Linked DNA regions of Caenorhabditis elegans. The protein of the gene in region 4 interacts with the protein of the main gene of each other region in a pairwise test. Each region holds a gene or a part of one and is shown on either strand. Other genes may lie near its edges.

Region 1 (3,695 bases), 3.0 Mb from region 4:
ATACGTAAAAACGCTCGCATAGCTTCTGCAGTATGATCGGGGCATTCAGTTTGACGTCTGAACATTTATTAAGACTTTGAATTTTCTCTTTTAATTTGAAGTTTTGAACAAAGAATACTCACAGTGAGGTTCCTCGAAACTCCACCATTCTGCTCACAACTCTTCCAATCTCATTTTTCCATTTCATTATCAGAATAGTTTTCTGAAAATAACTGGGTTGAATAAACAAAGTAATTCAATTAAAACTAACAGCTGTAGAGGGAAGCTCCGTAATTCCGAGTTCGTGAAGCTTATTTGGAAGAGTTGAGCATATCTGAGAGTTTTCCCAGCTGACCAACATCATGTTTTGTTTATCCTGCAAACGGATTTTTTCTTTATCTAACTGATTTGATGGAAATTTGAGCAAAATGATTTCGCAACACTTACTGGGAATGGTAGTCGAGTGAGAATATTTCTGCGTATTTCTCGTGGCAAGTGCTTCCATCCAGCCTCTTCTTCTATAATTTGGCAATTTCAGATTTATCTTCATTATTAAGCATTAACTAACCCTCGAAATCCATTATTTCTTCCAGTGCCATTTTGAGTAGAATGGAACAGCGGAAAGAGAAGAAAATCGGCAGAAAAAACGGGAACCTCACGCCCAGAGGCAAGAGACCCAGAGATGTAAAGAGAGGCCGTTTGAGAAAGAATATCAATGGCGCAGGTCGATCAGAGACATGAAAATAACACAATATAAAATGAGGATGCACAGAAAAGACGTGGAGGATAGAAAATGAAGTTGGAGAGAATGGACGATTTGAAAATCAATTTTTTGAGAGTACTGTGCGAGTATTATGACGTCAATTTCTGGAAAGGGCAGAGTACATTAGTTTTTAGAAAGCATGAACAACATCACGGAGAACATTAACTAAAGTCACCATTAAAAAAACAAAATTGGAAATAGAAATTCCGAATTCGTTTGAACATTTATAATGAACACTCGTTGTACTAATTGGAGGCAGGATTAAACACATTTAGATTGTCACACGGGGCCTAAAGCGTTTTTATATTCTTAAAGTAATCTCTTAATGTATAAAAAAGAGACATTTCCCTTAAATTGGAAAGTTAAGGAGTGTCACAATAGGAAACAACTGGAAAACAATTGAGAAAATCTAAACTTTAGAACTTAATTCCATTTTTTCTATCTCAATTCCGTAACTTTCAAAAAATCATAATACGCTTTACGAGGGAATGTTAAATAATGAAATATTTTAGAATTTCAGTGATTATTATAAACTATTTAATACCAACAATACTATCCATATCAATCAGTTAAACAATCGTTTAAAAATTCAAGACAGTGATGACAAAATGATAGAAAATAGTAAAATAGCATATTGCAAAACAATCTGATACAAATTTGACGAAAAGAATCCAAAAATTGTTTAGGAATTTCCTAACCATGCATTGCGTTTGAAACACCGCGCGAAGTTAGATGTGCAGGTTACCGGGTTACTGTAGTACGGGACCCATTAGCTTCGCAGATGCGCGGCCCAAAACATTCATTTCGATTTTGCAGCTTGAAGTTCACGCGCCGTGAGCTGTTTTTCTCATTTCTAAATTTTTTTGCTGCTGATTTTCGACTTTAGTTTTGGTTACGTTTTTGAGCATGAGCACATAGCTTCTGTTAAATATTCTTTTTAATCTTTACCCAATTTTTGTTTAATGACTTATTAAAAGTTACCCTCTTACAGTCAACCTCACTTGCTTCAACCAAATTTACGACTATGTCGGACACCGCAAACGCCGCTGTCGAAATCGGAGAGGAAGCTCTCGAGCAGAAGCTCGAAGAGCTCTCTGTTCAAGATAAGACAACGCCAAGCAACAGCGAAGAGAAGATGCGTAAAAGAGTATGTTACACATTTAAATTAATTTAGTAATTACTTAATTTAGCGTCTGCCGACTGCTGAGCGCATCCGTCTGTGGGAAGAAGAGCAGAAGTCGAAGACAGCCATTACCACCGGACTTCAAGGAAAAGTGAAATGGTATTCTGTTCTCCGTCGCTATGGCTTCATTTCTCGCAACGATGGCGAAAAGGACATCTTTGTTCACCAGACAGCCATTGCCAAGTCAGCCACTGAAAAGTTCTACCTCCGTACCCTCGGGGACGATGAAGAGGTTCTCTTCGATCTCGTCGAGGGAAAGAATGGCCCAGAAGCTGCTAACGTAACAGGACCCAACGGAGACAATGTCATTGGATCGAGGTGAGGGTTTATATTGACCATGGAAGTTTTTAAATCCTATTTTACAGATACCGCCACAAGCTTCTCTCTCGCTTCCGCAAGAACCGCAAGCCCAGAGCTTCTGTCGATGGAGAGGAATCCCAGTCGACCGATGCCAAGCCACAGGAGATGTCGGCGGATGCTGAGAAGAAAAAGCCAAGAAAGCAACGCAAGAACAGAAATCGCAAGTCGAAGGCCCAACAGAAAGGAGCTGGTGATGCCGCTGATTCATCGGCTGTCACTGAATCTTCCGAATCTGCTTCTGACGTTGCTTCTCCAGACTCCAAATCTTGTTCCAAGATCATCACAGAGGAAGCTGGACTTTCCAAGGTTGACCGTTGCGACTCTGCACTTGGAGAAGCCGGCCTAGGAGCCCAGCCAATCGATGCTCAGATTTAAGATCCATTAATGCTTATTTCTCAAATTTGTACCTTTGTACATATACATAGTACACTTTATCATATTCCCAATTTATGCATGCTATTGTAAGTCCCTATCCCTCTTGTTCTTCAATGCCACATTGCCTCAGCTTGTAATGAGAAAACCTCTCAATAAAACCGTTTACCGGTAAATTGAATGTTTATTTCATAACAATGACTCATCATATCAGCTTCTCAAATCTTATCAGTGAGATATCTCTGATGAAAATAGGTCACCAATTCTTATTCGGCATATTGATTAGTTTCGTACAATGATTCGCATAGGACGACTGTTTTTATTCTGTTCTTTTATTTTGCACATTGCGGCAGAAAGGTGAACGAATCATGAGCAATAGTGAGAAATACAATTTCGTCTATTCAGATGTCCGCCTGTTTTCGGTGAGTATGAGTGCCCAGTTGGATTTACTTGTGAAGAGAAGCAATGCTTTGGTAGGAACAAATCCCCATCTACATTCTGTTCATTCGAGGTTTTCAAGTTTTGATGAATATTTTCAAAACGTTTAGTTTAGGTAGAATGTCGAGAGGGATTCGTTTGTTCTGAAGGAAAATGTTATCCAATCACTTCAGTGAAATGCAATCGGTACAGTTAATTTCTGAATAAGGAATGATAACAACTTGTCAGAGCAAATAAAACACAATTTTCAGACACGTATTGGTAGCTGAAGGTTCAGCTCGAAGCATAGTCTCCGATTGTGGAAAACATGGAAAATGCGTCAACGGGCAGTGCATTTTGAATAGTGGGTATTTTTATAAATTAGTTTTAAAAACTAGTTTTCTCGTACATATTACAGGAACACGAAATTCTGAGAATGCGTATTGCGCAACATATTTGACGCGCAAAATATCTCGTAGCGAAAACTACAGTAATGCTTCAAATGACTACTGTAGCGCTGGTGTCGATTTACGGAAAAGGGCAAAAAAGAGGCCCCACGAAAAGGGGAGCAGAACGAAAAGGGGATCTGCAAAAAGGGGAGATACGAAAAGGGGAGCAACG
Region 2 (3,514 bases), on a different chromosome or scaffold from region 4:
AAACTAAAGTAATCCTACATTGTAGTTTTCCTGCCATACCAACACAGTACTCCACTACAGTCCTCATATTTACATCCCCGCATATACTAATTATTAGCACTATACTGGCCAAACATTTGGAAAGTTAGAGTTTATAATAGGGATGACGTCACAGACTACAAACATCCAAACGCGAAATGACTATAAACTTGTCTCACCTGGATACACCATGTTCCACTAGGCCTCTCGAATTGTTTTCATCCAGTTGGACATGGAACTGGAAATTCAGAAGAATTGAAGGATTTTCTTTCGAGAAACTAACTATAAGATTTTGTTTGCAGTCAAAACAAGTTGAAACAGGAGTAGAAATGTTGTTATCTTGATATCTTGCGAATTAGTTTGAACTTTAAAAGCCTCCTCTCGATAAGATTTTAAAAAGTTACAAGTAGTAGTGACAGGTTCCATCGTAGTTGTGGTGGTCGTGGCTGAAAGTCGTGAAATATTGGAGTTCATGGGGTACGATTACTTTCAACTTGTTGCGTTGGTATACAAGCATTGATAAGTTCCTCTTGAAAGGAAAAGGAGAAGAACGGCAGTGTTCATGTTCTACGGCGGAAATTATTGTAAAAAATTGTATTTTGTTGGATTTCCAATAACTTACAGCATGCCAATAGAATCCTGTTTAATTTTCGCAAGTGGCTTTTTTTTTGAATTATTGAAACACGATCAGATGACAAGCGATTTGTAATTGCCTACAATTATTTTCGTTACTAAAATAGTCATGTAAAACTACCGTTGTTCTTCAGAATTTGTTCTAATTTGGTAATTTAATATTTTCAAGACTTTTGCAACCACACAAATTGTGCTAAATTATTTTTTTAGAAAGCCGAAAAGAGTTATAAGAAATTCAGTTCTAAATGAAAAACCTTGATGAATCTCTGTTAATACTAAAAAGTTAGCGAAATAGGCCAGAAGCCTGAAAAAGATTGCCGCATGCTTGCAAGTAAAAAGAAATTAGGATGCTTAACTCGGGACTTTTTAGGTCCCCTGAAAAGTAGATTCATATACCGTATTTTCTCTATTACTAAGGCATGCAATACTATTGTTTGGGCACCTATTTAGATGTAAGAAATAAAATAAAAATAGATGCCAACTGCAAAGTTGCTAGCAGTACAGTGAATAACAAGTGGCTAGTTGAAATTACTTTTCTGTTGTAGATGTATGCAGATATATCTTCATTAAATGTTGTATCACAGTTGTTTTGATTCACCATATCTTGTTAGTCAACTTACCACAGAGAAATGTCGTCGGCCAATAAAATATTATCCTTCTTATGGGGTTATTCAAGTAGTGTCGGAAAATTAAAAAGTGATCTTGCCAGTTAAAAAAAAATAACTTCAAGATAGAATTTTTAAAGTTTCAAGTTCCATTTTTTTAAACATAAACTGATGACAAAACTGAAAAGATTTTAATTTTTGAGACTTCAAATGTGCTTTTGATACTTTTCTTGTCCTCAAATATTTCTCCAAGTTCATTTTGTGTCACAAATTTTGTGTCTCGGTGTCGTCTGCGTCTCGTCTTTGTGTATTTCGTTGACACAACGGAGTATAAATATTGGTGAAAGAATCATTGAAAAAAGTTAACAATTTCAAACTCTGAGCAAATGACTCGTTTTGCTGAAAAAGTCGCTATTATCACTGGTAAGACTTATAATTTTAATAATATAAAATACATTTAAATATTGATGGTTTTTAGGTTCTTCCAATGGAATTGGTCGAGCAACTGCTGTTCTCTTTGCACGAGAAGGAGCCAAAGTAACTATCACAGGACGTCATGCAGAAAGACTTGAAGAAACTAGACAACAGATTTTGGCAGCTGGAGTTTCCGAGCAAAATGTGAATTCAGTTGTTGCTGATGTTACTACTGATGCTGGTCAAGATGAGATTCTCAGCACAACTTTGGGAAAATTCGGAAAACTTGACATTTTGGTGTGTAAATTTAGTCAATGTTTTTTTCCCCAATAATTTAATTCAATTGTGAACTTTAGGTTAACAATGCTGGTGCCGCGATCCCAGACTCCCAAAGTAAAACTGGAACTGCTCAAAGTATTGAAAGCTACGATGCTACTTTGAATCTTAATTTGAGAAGTGTGATTGCACTGACAAAGAAGGCTGTTCCACATTTGTCTTCTACCAAGGGAGAAATTGTCAATATTTCTAGCATTGCTTCTGGACTTCATGCTGTAAGTTTTAAAATTATAACATTAAAAGTTTCATTGATGCCTTTTTAAGACACCAGACTTCCCATATTACTCAATTGCAAAAGCAGCCATTGATCAATATACTCGTAATACAGCAATTGATCTTATTCAACACGGGATTCGTGTTAACTCAATTAGTCCAGGACTCGTTGCAACTGGATTTGGTTCAGCAATGGGAATGCCAGAAGAAACATCAAAGAAATTCTATTCGACCATGGCTACGATGAAGGAATGTGTCCCAGCAGGAGTAATGGGACAACCACAGGATATTGCTGAAGTCATTGCTTTTTTGGCCGATAGGAAGACATCATCATACATCATTGGACATCAACTTGTAGTTGATGGTGGAAGTTCTCTTATTATGGGACTTCATTGCCAAGACTTTGCAAAACTTTTACATTAATTGTTTCAGTTATCTGTTGTTTTATTAATCAATAAACTAGCTTTTAAAATTTTGCGAATACGACAAAAATCGTCTTGATGTCACGATTGAAATTAAACTTCTAAATTCAAAACCAATCTACTTCTGTTTCGAACAAAATGAAAAATATTCTATGTCGATAAAAATTGTATATGACAACTTGAATGTTGAGCAACTGAATTCTCTTTTACTTGAATGAGCTAAACTTTTAGAAATTGCGCAAAAAATTATTTATGACAGTAAAAAATTTTGAGAAGATGTCTAAATTTCGCTAAATATACATCTTTTACACTACTTTTGAAATATTTTACTTGTTTATTTTTCGTTTTTAAGTATAAGAACAAAACTTAATGATAAAATTCGGTTTTCTGGGTTCATTTTTCAACAGTAAACATATTTTTAAAAAATTTTGAAGATGTTTATCTTTAAGCCTTTTTTAAAAATAATTTTCAATATTTCAAAGATATATTTATTTGGTCATTGTTTCAAGAGAAAAAAAACAGGAAAATGTGTACAATGTGTACGTACTGGCAGATTGCTTGACTTGCAATCTTTGGCTAGAAAAAGTGGATTTTGAGCGAATTTAGAAATGATTTCAAATGGAATGAAATTTATGGCCTTGAGCCGACCATTTGTTGTTGAACTTGTTGAATTTGTTGTTGTGTCTTTTGATCGGCAGCATCAGCAACTGCTTTCTCAAAGAGTCGTCCAATTTGCTCATTCATTGGTCCTGAAACGGAATTATTCAGAAATATTATTTTAGCTTCAAAGGATGCATGAGGCTAACATTCAAACTTTCAACAAAATAGGTGCATTAAAAAGTTAGTGAAGTTATTAACCAGGTGTATAACGAT
Region 3 (6,522 bases), on a different chromosome or scaffold from region 4:
CCAAGATACATTCTACGCGATGTGGGAAACACGACGAATGGAGAGCGTGGCATTGATGACAACAAAACTGTATGTGATTTTTGACACCACGGAACCATTAGAATTTTATTTGAATTCGGAAATAATATCTCCAATATTAAATTCGTTTTGATTGAACTTTGTTTTTCAGCTACAACAATGCAAATTCGAAGTCGGTGATTTCGTCGACGTCGCGATTTCCTTGCCAAGTCAAGGACGTCGTTTCAATAACCGGGAGCAGGGAGACCGTTTCGATCATCGTCAACGCCAACGTAGTCCGATTCGCTAGACGCCTAACTGTGTGTTAAAATTCAATGATACTCTTCTGTATTTATTAATGTGTCGATTCTTTTTTTTATAACGTGCAATGTAATATTCTGCGTAAATCATGTTTTCCTTTACAATTGTTCAACATACTTAACAATTTACAACAAAGTTTACTTTCACATTTACTGGTCAAAATTGCAAGCTATTTAATTTTAAAAAAGTTTTGTTTTGTGATTATGCAAAAATCGGAAAAATGATCGCGATCAAACTGCTTTCAGCGAAAACTAAAATTTCTTCTCGAATAATTTATTGCTTAATAAATGATAATGGACGGGGGGTAGAGCAAGTAAGATTATTGAAAATCGAAATTTCCAAAAACGTTCTAATTGGAAGTTTCTTTCGCCTTCGAAAACTCCTAATAAGAAAGTTGGAGGAAATTCGCACAGAAAAAAAGGCAGGTAAAACAGGAGTATCTACTATTCAAACTATGTGTCAATGTACTCTACTCTAGATTAAATTACAAAAGGATTCTTAGTTGAAATTATAAAAACATAAAGGGGAATACGATACAATTATGGGGAAAAATGTAATAAAGAATGTTCAGAAAAACAAAAGCATGGGAATTTAAGTACTTGTATAGAGAGTAGGTATAGGGTAGTGGATAAAAAATGTTGGTAATATGTAAAGGGGGTGAATACGTGACAATAAAAGAGAGAATCTCGGGATTACGCCCAGAAGTTTCGCTTCGGAATGGTCATTCCGTTCATTGCAACGGACATCTCATCAACAATGGCTGCCGCCAGTTCTTCTCGCATGTCTTCGTTGATGAGTTCCGAATGGTCTTTGATGATGCGGTTCTCAACTGCTTGCAAATTCACGTAACGCCTGGAAACATTTGTTTTTGATAAAGATTTTTAGGAAAATAAACTATTACTGATGAATTTTGTAATTGTTGCGTCCTCGTTTAGCCAGATTTTCTGCCGCATAAAGAACATCTGGAACCGATGGTGGCTGGTAGGACACTTGATGACCGAATGCGCGGAAGTACGTCAAGTGCATGAGCTCGTTTTTAGACCATTTGGCATCATTGACAAGGATCGTGTACTTGCACGGACGAACGGTACCCTAAAAGAAACTTTCATTTAATAAATTAACTAATGAACAACTTACAATAAGCGGCGTCTGTGAAGACAAAATGAACTCGTCGTATCCGTAGGATGTCAGGACATTCTCGACACATGTTCCAGATGGGATGTTCTGATCCGTCGCTCTGTTGCCACTGATACATGATGGAAAAACGCGAGCATGTGAAGCTCTTTGTGCGATGATCACCACGAGATGTGGACGGTATCCGGGCTGAATCTTGTCAAATGTTCGTCGCATCTCTTCGACTTCTTCCTTAACACGATTGAAGTTTCCTTCTCCAGCACCAACACGATAGATGACGATTCTTGTTGGGAGTGTCTTCGAATGCTCCTTGTACGATCTGACACACTTTGGGAAGAATTCATCAAGTTTTTGAAGTTTGTACTCCTTTTGGGTTTGAAGGTATGTGAAGCCTCCGAGCTGCGTCGAGTTGGTCAGGGAATACGAGACTCCAACAACTGATGGCTCACCATCCATTTGTGATCTACTGCGATCGAACAAAGTGCGTGATGCGCCATGAGAAATCTCGAATCCGATGAATTGTACATGTTCGAGAAGTTTCTTTCTCAATGTTTCATTGTTTGAGCACACTGCTTTTCCACGCACAGCATTCGGGATCTCGACGAAGAAGTTGGTTCCACCACACTTGAGGTTGAACTTTCTCATGACGTTGTCAATCGTTTGGCGTCCACCTTGACCTCCCATCATTTTATCGACAGTCTGTTGACACAATTGGATTGTTTGCAGGCCAATCGATTCCTCAAAGTATTTGAGTATGTCGTGAACATCCGGCTTCTTCTCCCTTGCTATTCCAACAAGAATGTCCACTCTATCATCGAGCCATTTCTTCATCAGATTTTGGATAGCAACGGAATCACTGGAGTTCAATTCACGGATGGACCAATCTCGCGAGTCCTTTTCGACCGTGATTCCATTGTCACGACAGAAATTGGACAGCTTGTCGCAGAAATCTCTGAAAATAGAATATTATAAAGCAGAAGAAAACAACGTTCGACTTACTCGGCCTGTCTCATTTGGATACAGTTGTCAAAGACAACAATACCAATTTTTCTGATCCGTGCTGGTTCGACAAACTTGTCCTGTGTGCGGAACGCTGGACGGCTCATGTCAGGCATGTAAGTCTGGCCCTTGAACTTGATTTGAGCTGGTGGGAGGAGCTTCGCAGTCATTTGGATTGGCTCAGTCGACATCAGTTTGATTCCGAAAGCATCCATGTACTTATTTTGTTCAAGCTTCAAGTTGTCGCGGAGAATATCTTGAACCAACTTCACATGATGCTGTGGCATAGACGCATTTCTTCCTGTCATCGCCGATTGTACTGTCGGGCTCATCTTGTTGACCTTGATCCGCTGGCCTGGAGCAATTCGAAGCAACTCCATTGGGAAGAAAGATTCATGTTTGAATCTTTTTGAGACGACGAGAGGAAGTCTCGGATATTTCAGCTTGATGTTGTACTGCAACAGGAAATATTCCGCCACGGTGACCTCGCGTTCTCCCTTGTCGTCCTTCATCATGAACGAAGTGCTACAAAACAAATTGTTATCACGCTGATGATAACTATCGAATAACTTACTTCTCAGCATTGTTCTCGGCAATCGAGGATACGCGAATAAGGTTACCCTTCAAGTGAGTGCATTCCACGTCCAATCCTTTGAGTGCTTCTTCAATGCATCGCTTCGTGTTTCCTCTTTCGCCAAAAGCGTGTTCCAACTCAGCAGCATCACTCGGAGAGTAGTCCGCTCCATTTGAAGAACCACTGTCTCGACGGGAATCGTACATGTCGCGACGTCCTCTGCTTTCATCTCGGTACCTGTCGTTGCCACCTCGGTTTCCATAGACACCACGAAAGTCTCTCGAGTCGGAACGGCCGCCACGGTATCCACCACGAGAGTCTCGCGAGTCACTTCTTCCGTATCCGCCTCTTCCACCGCCTCCACCTTTCATTTCGGATAACTTGTTGCTTGAAAACTTGATAACTGATGTATCCTTGTAAAATGGAGAAATCTTCGTATCAACCGTCATGAAAGCTTTGCCACCTCCGTTTTGCGATAGACGAGATACTTTCGCAAAACCTGAGCGGATCTCCGAAATAGCATCAGGTTCCGAGTGTGGCGGAGAAAGACGTGGGAATGTGGCATTACCAAATTGTAAGTAATCCTCATTGTTGAGCTTTTGTGAAGTGACGATTTCGATAATACGAGTCAACTCCATACGATTAGCCTCCTCCTGGGCAACTTCTCCTTGGGTGTACACAAATCCGGCAGGTTTGAGAACAACAAGGTAAGAATCGTCCTTTCTGCGAGACAACTTCGACACGAATTTCCATTCTTCCTTCGGGAAGTCATCGATCGTCAACGTGACTTCTTCTTGATCGTCACCAGTGTAGACTCCCTCCGGAAGATAGAGAGTCGCAGCGCAGTCGTAAGCAAGGAAGTGGTGACTCTTTCCACTGAACTTCACCAGAAGCTTGTCATGTACTGTTCTCATGATGTAGTATTGTGCCAAGCGACGGTTATGGGAATTGACACTGGAAAGTACTGATTTTGAGCGGTTATACAAATTAAATACTTACTCTCCCTTGGCCGCCAAAACTCCAAGGTTGGCATTGATCTGTTTTCCGTTGCTGGAACAGACGATGACGTCAACTTGAAAGCGTTGGATCTTGTGGGGCATATCCTTGATGTCCACTGGAAACATGTTCATCTGAACATTCATCGTGTCCATCGTTGCGAAAGAGTCCCGTCCAATTGGTGTTGTTGACTTCGGAGTAGAGAACATTGGTGCTGAAAAAGACAATTTTGAACTCCTAGGCATAATGTTGATTCTAAACGAACCACTTCTCTTTGACGTCGGTTCGTCCTTGTCCTGATTCATTCGGTTGTCTCGTTTGGGAATCCTGTTGGAAGACGAACTTCCCATAATTTTGTCGAGCAAGTCGGCCATGTTTGACTGAAATAAGAAACGATGAAACGAAAAAACGATGCGAATTTCAGATGTAATTGAGATAAAACAGTGAAATTTACTAAGAAAAAGTAAATGAAACAAAAGCTTTACCGTCCTGATTGAGATTTTCAAGTAAAATGAGAAAAAACGCAAGGAGAGAAATGAAATGAAAATAAATAAATTTTAGGCCAGAAAATTCGAGAAAACACATCCGTGGCGGTACAAAAGTTCAAATCGTGGCGCCACATGCGTTGTAACAATAGAGCGCGCTTGCATTGTGATCTCTTCGAAAAATTTCACGTCTAGAAATCGAATTTTATTAGTTTTCAAAAACTTAACGACTATTCTGAACATTTCAAATAAAATAATAGAAAACAATATTTTTAAAAAATTAATTTGTTATGCTTCAATAAATATTAATTATTTAATTCATTTCTACAATCAAAACGATGCTGGTTTTTCAAGTTTTCTGCTTTTTCGTCTCTTTTCTGGCAAATTCAATAAAATGCGACATAATTCATCTCAAACATATGCCTAAAATTCTGAAGGAAAAGGCGTTGCTCGAAAAGCCGATAATTCCAAACAGGCTGCTCCAGCCATTCCTTAATGAATCAATTGCTCATATTTTGATGAATCCGTTAGCTGAAGTGAAGACGAATGCGACGGAAATTAAGTTTCTAAATTATCTAGAAGATAAAAAGAAATATGAACCCGATTGGACAATTCGAGAACTTGAAGATAAAATTGTGAGCTTAATAAGTCATTTTTCAAGTCTAGAAAAGAGTTTCAGAGCCTATCAGAACTGGTCAAGACTTGTCTAGAACACCACTCGTTTCTAGATCTTCCAGATTTATTTCCTCGTTTTCTGTGTGGTTTGTTAGCAGTGTATAGGGAACAGAACACGACAAGTCTTCCATATACTGGATCAATATTTTCTCGATCATCAAATGCAGTAAAATTTCTAAATGATCCAGAGAATTATCCATGTCATTCTATGAATATGACTGATGTGGTGGCACTGGTGCCAGGAAGAATATACAGTGGATGTGTCAAGGATACGGTATCCTTTTCAACAAAATTCTGAAAATCCAGTTATCTGTTTAGGACCCTGAAAAATTCAGTCAATTCGATTCCGTCTTCATCATGTCTCATCCATTCCCAGATGTTCAAAAGTGTCAACAACCTGTGTCAGTGATGCCAAAATGCGAACTGCGATCGATGCTAGTGCAACACAAGATATTGTATCAGCAAAAAGATTGTTGCTGCGATTCCAACATGTGTGCCGTGCTCATCTTCACTCAGACCTCTTCACTGACTCCGCTTGTTTTAAAGACGATTGATTTGACGAGAGAGACGATGGTCCCGTTTCCAGTGACAACGACAGAGATCTCTTTAAATTCAATGTTTCAATAAAGTCAACAATTTCAATAACGCATAAAATGTAAACTCAACAGCAAAAATTAACAAAAAAGAAGATTCAGAATAAAATGGGATTAAAAAAAAAGAAATTAACTACTTCTTTCGTTCATAGGTCCATTTGTAGACGGCTGCTCGCATAGCTTTCGCCTTTTTGACCTTTTGAGGCTTCAATTCTGATTTGCTTCCAGCTGCCAATTGTTTCTTCAATTCCAGCTTGTCCACGACCACTTGAAGCTCCTTGGCACGTTCCACGCGTTTGATGAGCTCGTTGTATCGAGTACGACGTACACGATCGGCTTTCTGGAATAATTTTTATTAAGATTTTTCATTTGTTTTAGATATTTAAGGGGTACTTACTCTGACTTGTTCTTTTCATTTGTTTTAGATCTTTAAGGGGTACTTACTCTGACTTGTTCTTTCGTACCAGCTCCAATAATAGTTTTATTTTGAAAATCTTCATTTTTCAATCGATTGAATTGTCGAGAGAGCATCGAAGTGGTTGTGTCAAAGTAGACGCGTGGATCGAAACTTTTGGCTGAAAAATTCTTATATTTTTGAGATTTTCTTTTTAAAAAATGTTCTCACCTTCCGAATCTGTGTCCACAAAAACGGTATGAGTATTTCCTTTGCCGTTCAACGAAGAATCCGCAAAGTGAAGTTCTCCTTTCATTTCGTCGATTTTCTTCTTTTCCTCATTCAGCTTGAACT
Region 4 (3,894 bases):
GATGAGTCTCGACACGAAAAATGAGTCAGAGTACCATTTCTTTTGCGGTGAGACCCATTCAAATAAATCCGTGCGCCTTTAATGTTTCGCAACTTTGAAAATGCACGTTTCCAAATGGTTTTCATTATTACCTAGCTCAATCCGATTTGATTGAAAACTGAAGAAAATCGAAAATGAATCTTATCATTAATTTCGATTCACTCGCGTCAAAGAATCTGATTTCAAAAAAATTATTGAATTGTAATCATTTATTTCTTTGAGTTTGTTATTTCTCAATGTATTTCTAAATGTGAATTGAAAGTTTTGTGAGCCGTTCATCCATTTTGAACGAAAAATTCGCTATATTCAATCTGAAACACTGAAACAACAACGTCCGTATCAAGAATTAACAATATGAAGTTTGATAGGTAAGTTAGTTTTCTTTCTTTAGTTACTTCTTTAGTTACGTTTTCTTTAGTTACTTTTCTATTGTATTTTATTTCCTGCTTAAATTAAAGAGGCATGAGTCTCGCGCATGGGTCTCACCACGCTAGCAACTTTTTTAAAAATAATGTCAGAAATTATCATTTAATTTGAATATCAAGATTCAATTACAATAACTGGTTGTCCGCGTGGCGAGACCCAAGACCGTAAGATATGGCGTATTTTCTCAACTTCTACGTAATATGAAATATTCTTTCAGAATTTCCATCGAAACAAGCGTCTTCACAGTGTTTTGTATACAAGCCACGATCTGCATAATTTGTTTCATCATATTTGTTGTTGGAAGAATTAAATTACAACGAATGAAAATGAAGAAATAATTTATTTTTAAATTCATACTAACGATTTGAGAGATCATACATAACAAAATCGAAGATTTGGTAGGAGCAAAATTAGAGTGAACAAGGTCATTTACAAAATAGGAAGACACAAAAAGTAACAGATAATAAAAATATTTAGTTGGAGTCATTGAAAATGAAATTAAATCTCGAAAGAGTGGTTGGAAGAGAGGAAATCAGTGGTCCATAGGCGGCTGCGTTGTCATAAAGTTCAAAGAGTGGAGCTGCGACGAGTTTGAAGTTTTTGGGAACGCAGAATGTTGCTGAAATGTACAAAACATTAAACTGCTTAGGTTTCAATTAGGGAAAAAATTCGAAGACACTTTAAATTTTGATCTTATCAATTTTTCAGTCTCTTACATTTTGAGGGCAACTGAACAAGCAACAGCTTGGTGTGCTCCTTGGGTTTTGTCACGTGCGCAGGGATGTACGGGTAACGGGGAGGATCAAAGTTTGGTCGCCACCAGTTGCCTATCTCATCCTCGATTGTCCATTCGTTTGTCTCCCCATCGGTTCTTCCGAGTGTCTCGTTTAGAAGACGTGTGACTCCAGATATCTCATCCTCACCAAGTTCCAATTCTCCACCCGGCCTGCAATTTTTTTATGAAACTTTCAGATTTTAATAGGAATTAATCTCACAATTTATAAAAGGTGGTACCAATCTGCAGGAGTAGGATATGTGGAAGTGAGTGCTCATGAACAATAAGCACCGCTTCAACTGATCTACGCATTCCCATCTAAAAAAATAATTGATATCGGTTGGAGACAATTAGAGAACACCTACCACTTCATATTCGTCTTTCATTCGTTTGAACCTTTCTGGAACTGATTTGTCTTTTTCTGCTTGTGCATCTTTAGTACCAAATGTGTAATTAGTCAACGGATACACGTTGATTGTTCGATTGAACGGAGGTTTTTCATCAAAGTTCGCTGGAGCCTCGGGCACAGATGCTGAAATTGTTGTTCTTTCGATTGTTGGCCAGATGTCTTCCATTTTAACTGAAATTATATTTAAATTTTGAACCAATTTAGAGTACACAATTAAATATTGACGAAGAGCAAATTAAAAAAAATGAATTGAAAACTGGAAAAAATTGTTTGAAAACAAAATTACAAAAAAAATGTACAGATGGCCTAGAAACAGTTTGTCCATGGGGCGCGGTTGCAACGTGTGAAAACTAGTCCGTCTGAATCAAATTTATAAAATTTTCACGCCTTTATCGTAAAAATCTAAAAAACAACAATATTTTGTTCATTTCTATAATTTTTGACCGTCTAAAACGAACATCTCAATGAGAAACTAGTTAAGACGCAGACGTCAAAGAACGCTCGCCTATCAACTACTAGCCAGTCACATTTTAAGTGTAAACAATCGGTAAGGAAGATAAAGAGACGCCAGAGAAAAATCACACATCACTTTTTTCATTACTCTTCACCTTGAAATTCTTTGCTCCCAGTATGATACTCTAGACATTCTTTGAAATTTCGTTTTTGAATCGTTTTGTTATGTTAATTATGTGAATTTATATCCAATAACACATGATGATCTTGCAGATAAATCGTTGACTTTGTATCATTCCAACTAGAAAAACCAGCAAAGACTCGTGATTTTTTTGCAATTTTCATGCCGCACGACTCAAATGAGGTAAGATTTTAAATAAATTTTGGAACATCTCTGTCATAAAATCATATTTTCAGGGAAAACAGAGGCCCAGTGTCGTTTTGTCACTATCCGCAGGCGCGATCGCCGGAGCTTTAGCCAAAACTACAATCGCACCTTTGGATCGAACTAAAATTTATTTTCAAGGTAAGAATTATGTCACTTCGAAACAATCGAAAATACACCTAATTTTTTGTATGTTCCAGTTTCAAGTACACGTGGTTACTCATTCCGATCTGCCATTAAATTCATAAAACTAACATATCGGGAAAATGGATTCTTTGCATTGTATCGTGGAAATTCTGCGACGATGGCTCGTGTTGTGCCATACGCGTCGATGCAATTCGCAGCCTTCGAGCAGTATAAAAAATTGCTGAAAGTTGACGAAAATGGGTGAGTTTTAAAGTTTTTTTCACACCGAGGTGGCAAATTTAACTTCAAAATGTTAATTTCCAGAAGTCGAACACCCGTGAAACGATATATAACAGGTTCTCTTGCCGCCACAACAGCTACAATGATCACTTATCCTTTAGACACCGCAAAAGCTCGTCTTTCAGTCTCTTCAAAATTACAATATAGTTCTTTGAAACATGTTTTTGTAAAAACATATAAAGAAGGTGGTATTCAACTATTGTACAGAGGGATTTATCCAACTATACTAGGTAGGAATTCTTATGAAAAACATCTTTCTTATCGATTTTTGTTGATTACAGGAGTAATACCATACGCTGGATCTTCCTTCTTCACATACGAAACTCTTAAGATTATGTATCGAGATCATAGAGGTGAAGTTGTGAGTTGAGAAATTATTTCTATACGTTATTATGTATGATAATTCAGGAAAATTCCTACTACCGAATGTTATTTGGAATGTTAGCTGGTTTGATCGGTCAATCATCGTCATATCCACTCGATATTGTGAGAAGGCGGATGCAAACAGGGCGAATTCCGAGTGGATGGAGTCCTCTTAGAGCTCTAATTCATATTTATCATACGGGTATGACTATTTTTTGAATTATAGTTTTTTTTAAACCTTACTATAATGACAATATAGTTCTATCAGAAATGGGCGGTTGCAATTAAACAAAATAACCTGCTTGTTCCAACATTTTTTTAATTGAAATTCAATGTCAAAGTATAGAAAATCACTTGATGTGTCCGAAAATCAAATTAATTCCAGTTGAAAAATTTGAGAAAGTGCTTAAAAATGATCTGAAAGTTGTCAATTACTGATTATCGAGTTATCTAACTTTGTTTTTGGGCAAATATCAACTTTTTGGATAATTTAAGTGATTTTCTATACTACGATTTTCTAAAAAAAATATATGGGGTGAACATGGCGCAATATTTATGATTTTTCAATAATTGCCGCCGTCCACCTCTAAAACAAGATTTTGGAATTTCTAAAGTAAT

Evidence for each region.
Region 1: the proteins of cfim-1 (region 4) and cey-2 interact in a two-hybrid assay, tested with the Caenorhabditis elegans proteins (one large-scale study listed by BioGRID).
Region 2: the proteins of cfim-1 (region 4) and D1054.8 interact in a two-hybrid assay, tested with the Caenorhabditis elegans proteins (one large-scale study listed by BioGRID).
Region 3: the proteins of cfim-1 (region 4) and hrde-1 interact in a two-hybrid assay, tested with the Caenorhabditis elegans proteins (one large-scale study listed by BioGRID).

The regions. Positions count from the first base shown.
Region 1 is NC_003279.8:5,617,836-5,621,530, forward strand, and holds cey-2 (CSD domain-containing protein), read left to right. Parts: upstream 1-1,733; 5' UTR 1,734-1,766; coding exon 1,767-1,889; intron 1,890-1,932; coding exon 1,933-2,243; intron 2,244-2,290; coding exon 2,291-2,660; 3' UTR 2,661-2,833; downstream 2,834-3,695. Other genes in the region: xrep-4 (F-box domain-containing protein), read right to left, coding at 1-57, 123-202, 251-355, 427-497, 548-578; F46F11.7 (Tenascin), read left to right, coding at 2,953-3,014, 3,063-3,168, 3,211-3,281, 3,347-3,438.
Region 2 is NC_003283.11:10,782,681-10,786,194, forward strand, and holds D1054.8 (DeHydrogenases, Short chain), read left to right. Parts: upstream 1-1,630; 5' UTR 1,631-1,642; coding exon 1,643-1,679; intron 1,680-1,734; coding exon 1,735-1,967; intron 1,968-2,026; coding exon 2,027-2,221; intron 2,222-2,270; coding exon 2,271-2,642; 3' UTR 2,643-2,687; downstream 2,688-3,514. Other genes in the region: D1054.9 (Prion-like-(Q/N-rich)-domain-bearing protein), read right to left, coding at 3,272-3,390, 3,500-3,514.
Region 3 is NC_003281.10:4,171,759-4,178,280, forward strand, and holds hrde-1 (Argonaute protein hrde-1), read right to left. Parts: upstream 4,402-6,522; 5' UTR 4,396-4,401; coding exon 4,287-4,395; intron 4,236-4,286; coding exon 4,025-4,235; intron 3,980-4,024; coding exon 3,026-3,979; intron 2,977-3,025; coding exon 2,452-2,976; intron 2,405-2,451; coding exon 1,456-2,404; intron 1,411-1,455; coding exon 1,220-1,410; intron 1,171-1,219; coding exon 1,011-1,170; 3' UTR 579-1,010; downstream 1-578. Other genes in the region: C16C10.4 (putative histone deacetylase complex subunit SAP18), read left to right, coding at 1-69, 170-307; C16C10.13 (Rab3 GTPase-activating protein catalytic subunit), read left to right, coding at 5,025-5,141, 5,186-5,455, 5,500-5,808; utp-11 (putative U3 small nucleolar RNA-associated protein 11), read right to left, coding at 5,908-6,114, 6,219-6,349, 6,400-6,522. UniProt on the Caenorhabditis elegans protein: Argonaute protein which is involved in the endogenous small interfering RNA (endo-siRNA) pathway and is required for RNA-mediated gene silencing (RNAi) in the germline.
Region 4 is NC_003279.8:8,613,314-8,617,207, reverse strand, and holds cfim-1 (Cleavage and polyadenylation specificity factor subunit 5), read right to left. Parts: upstream 1,821-3,894; 5' UTR 1,816-1,820; coding exon 1,606-1,815; intron 1,559-1,605; coding exon 1,461-1,558; intron 1,412-1,460; coding exon 1,182-1,411; intron 1,085-1,181; coding exon 939-1,084; 3' UTR 804-938; downstream 1-803. Other genes in the region: F43G9.21 (uncharacterized protein), read left to right, coding at 394-407, 683-803; slc-25A42 (Mitochondrial coenzyme A transporter SLC25A42), read left to right, coding at 2,446-2,466, 2,520-2,628, 2,688-2,874, 2,938-3,143, 3,195-3,274, 3,322-3,478.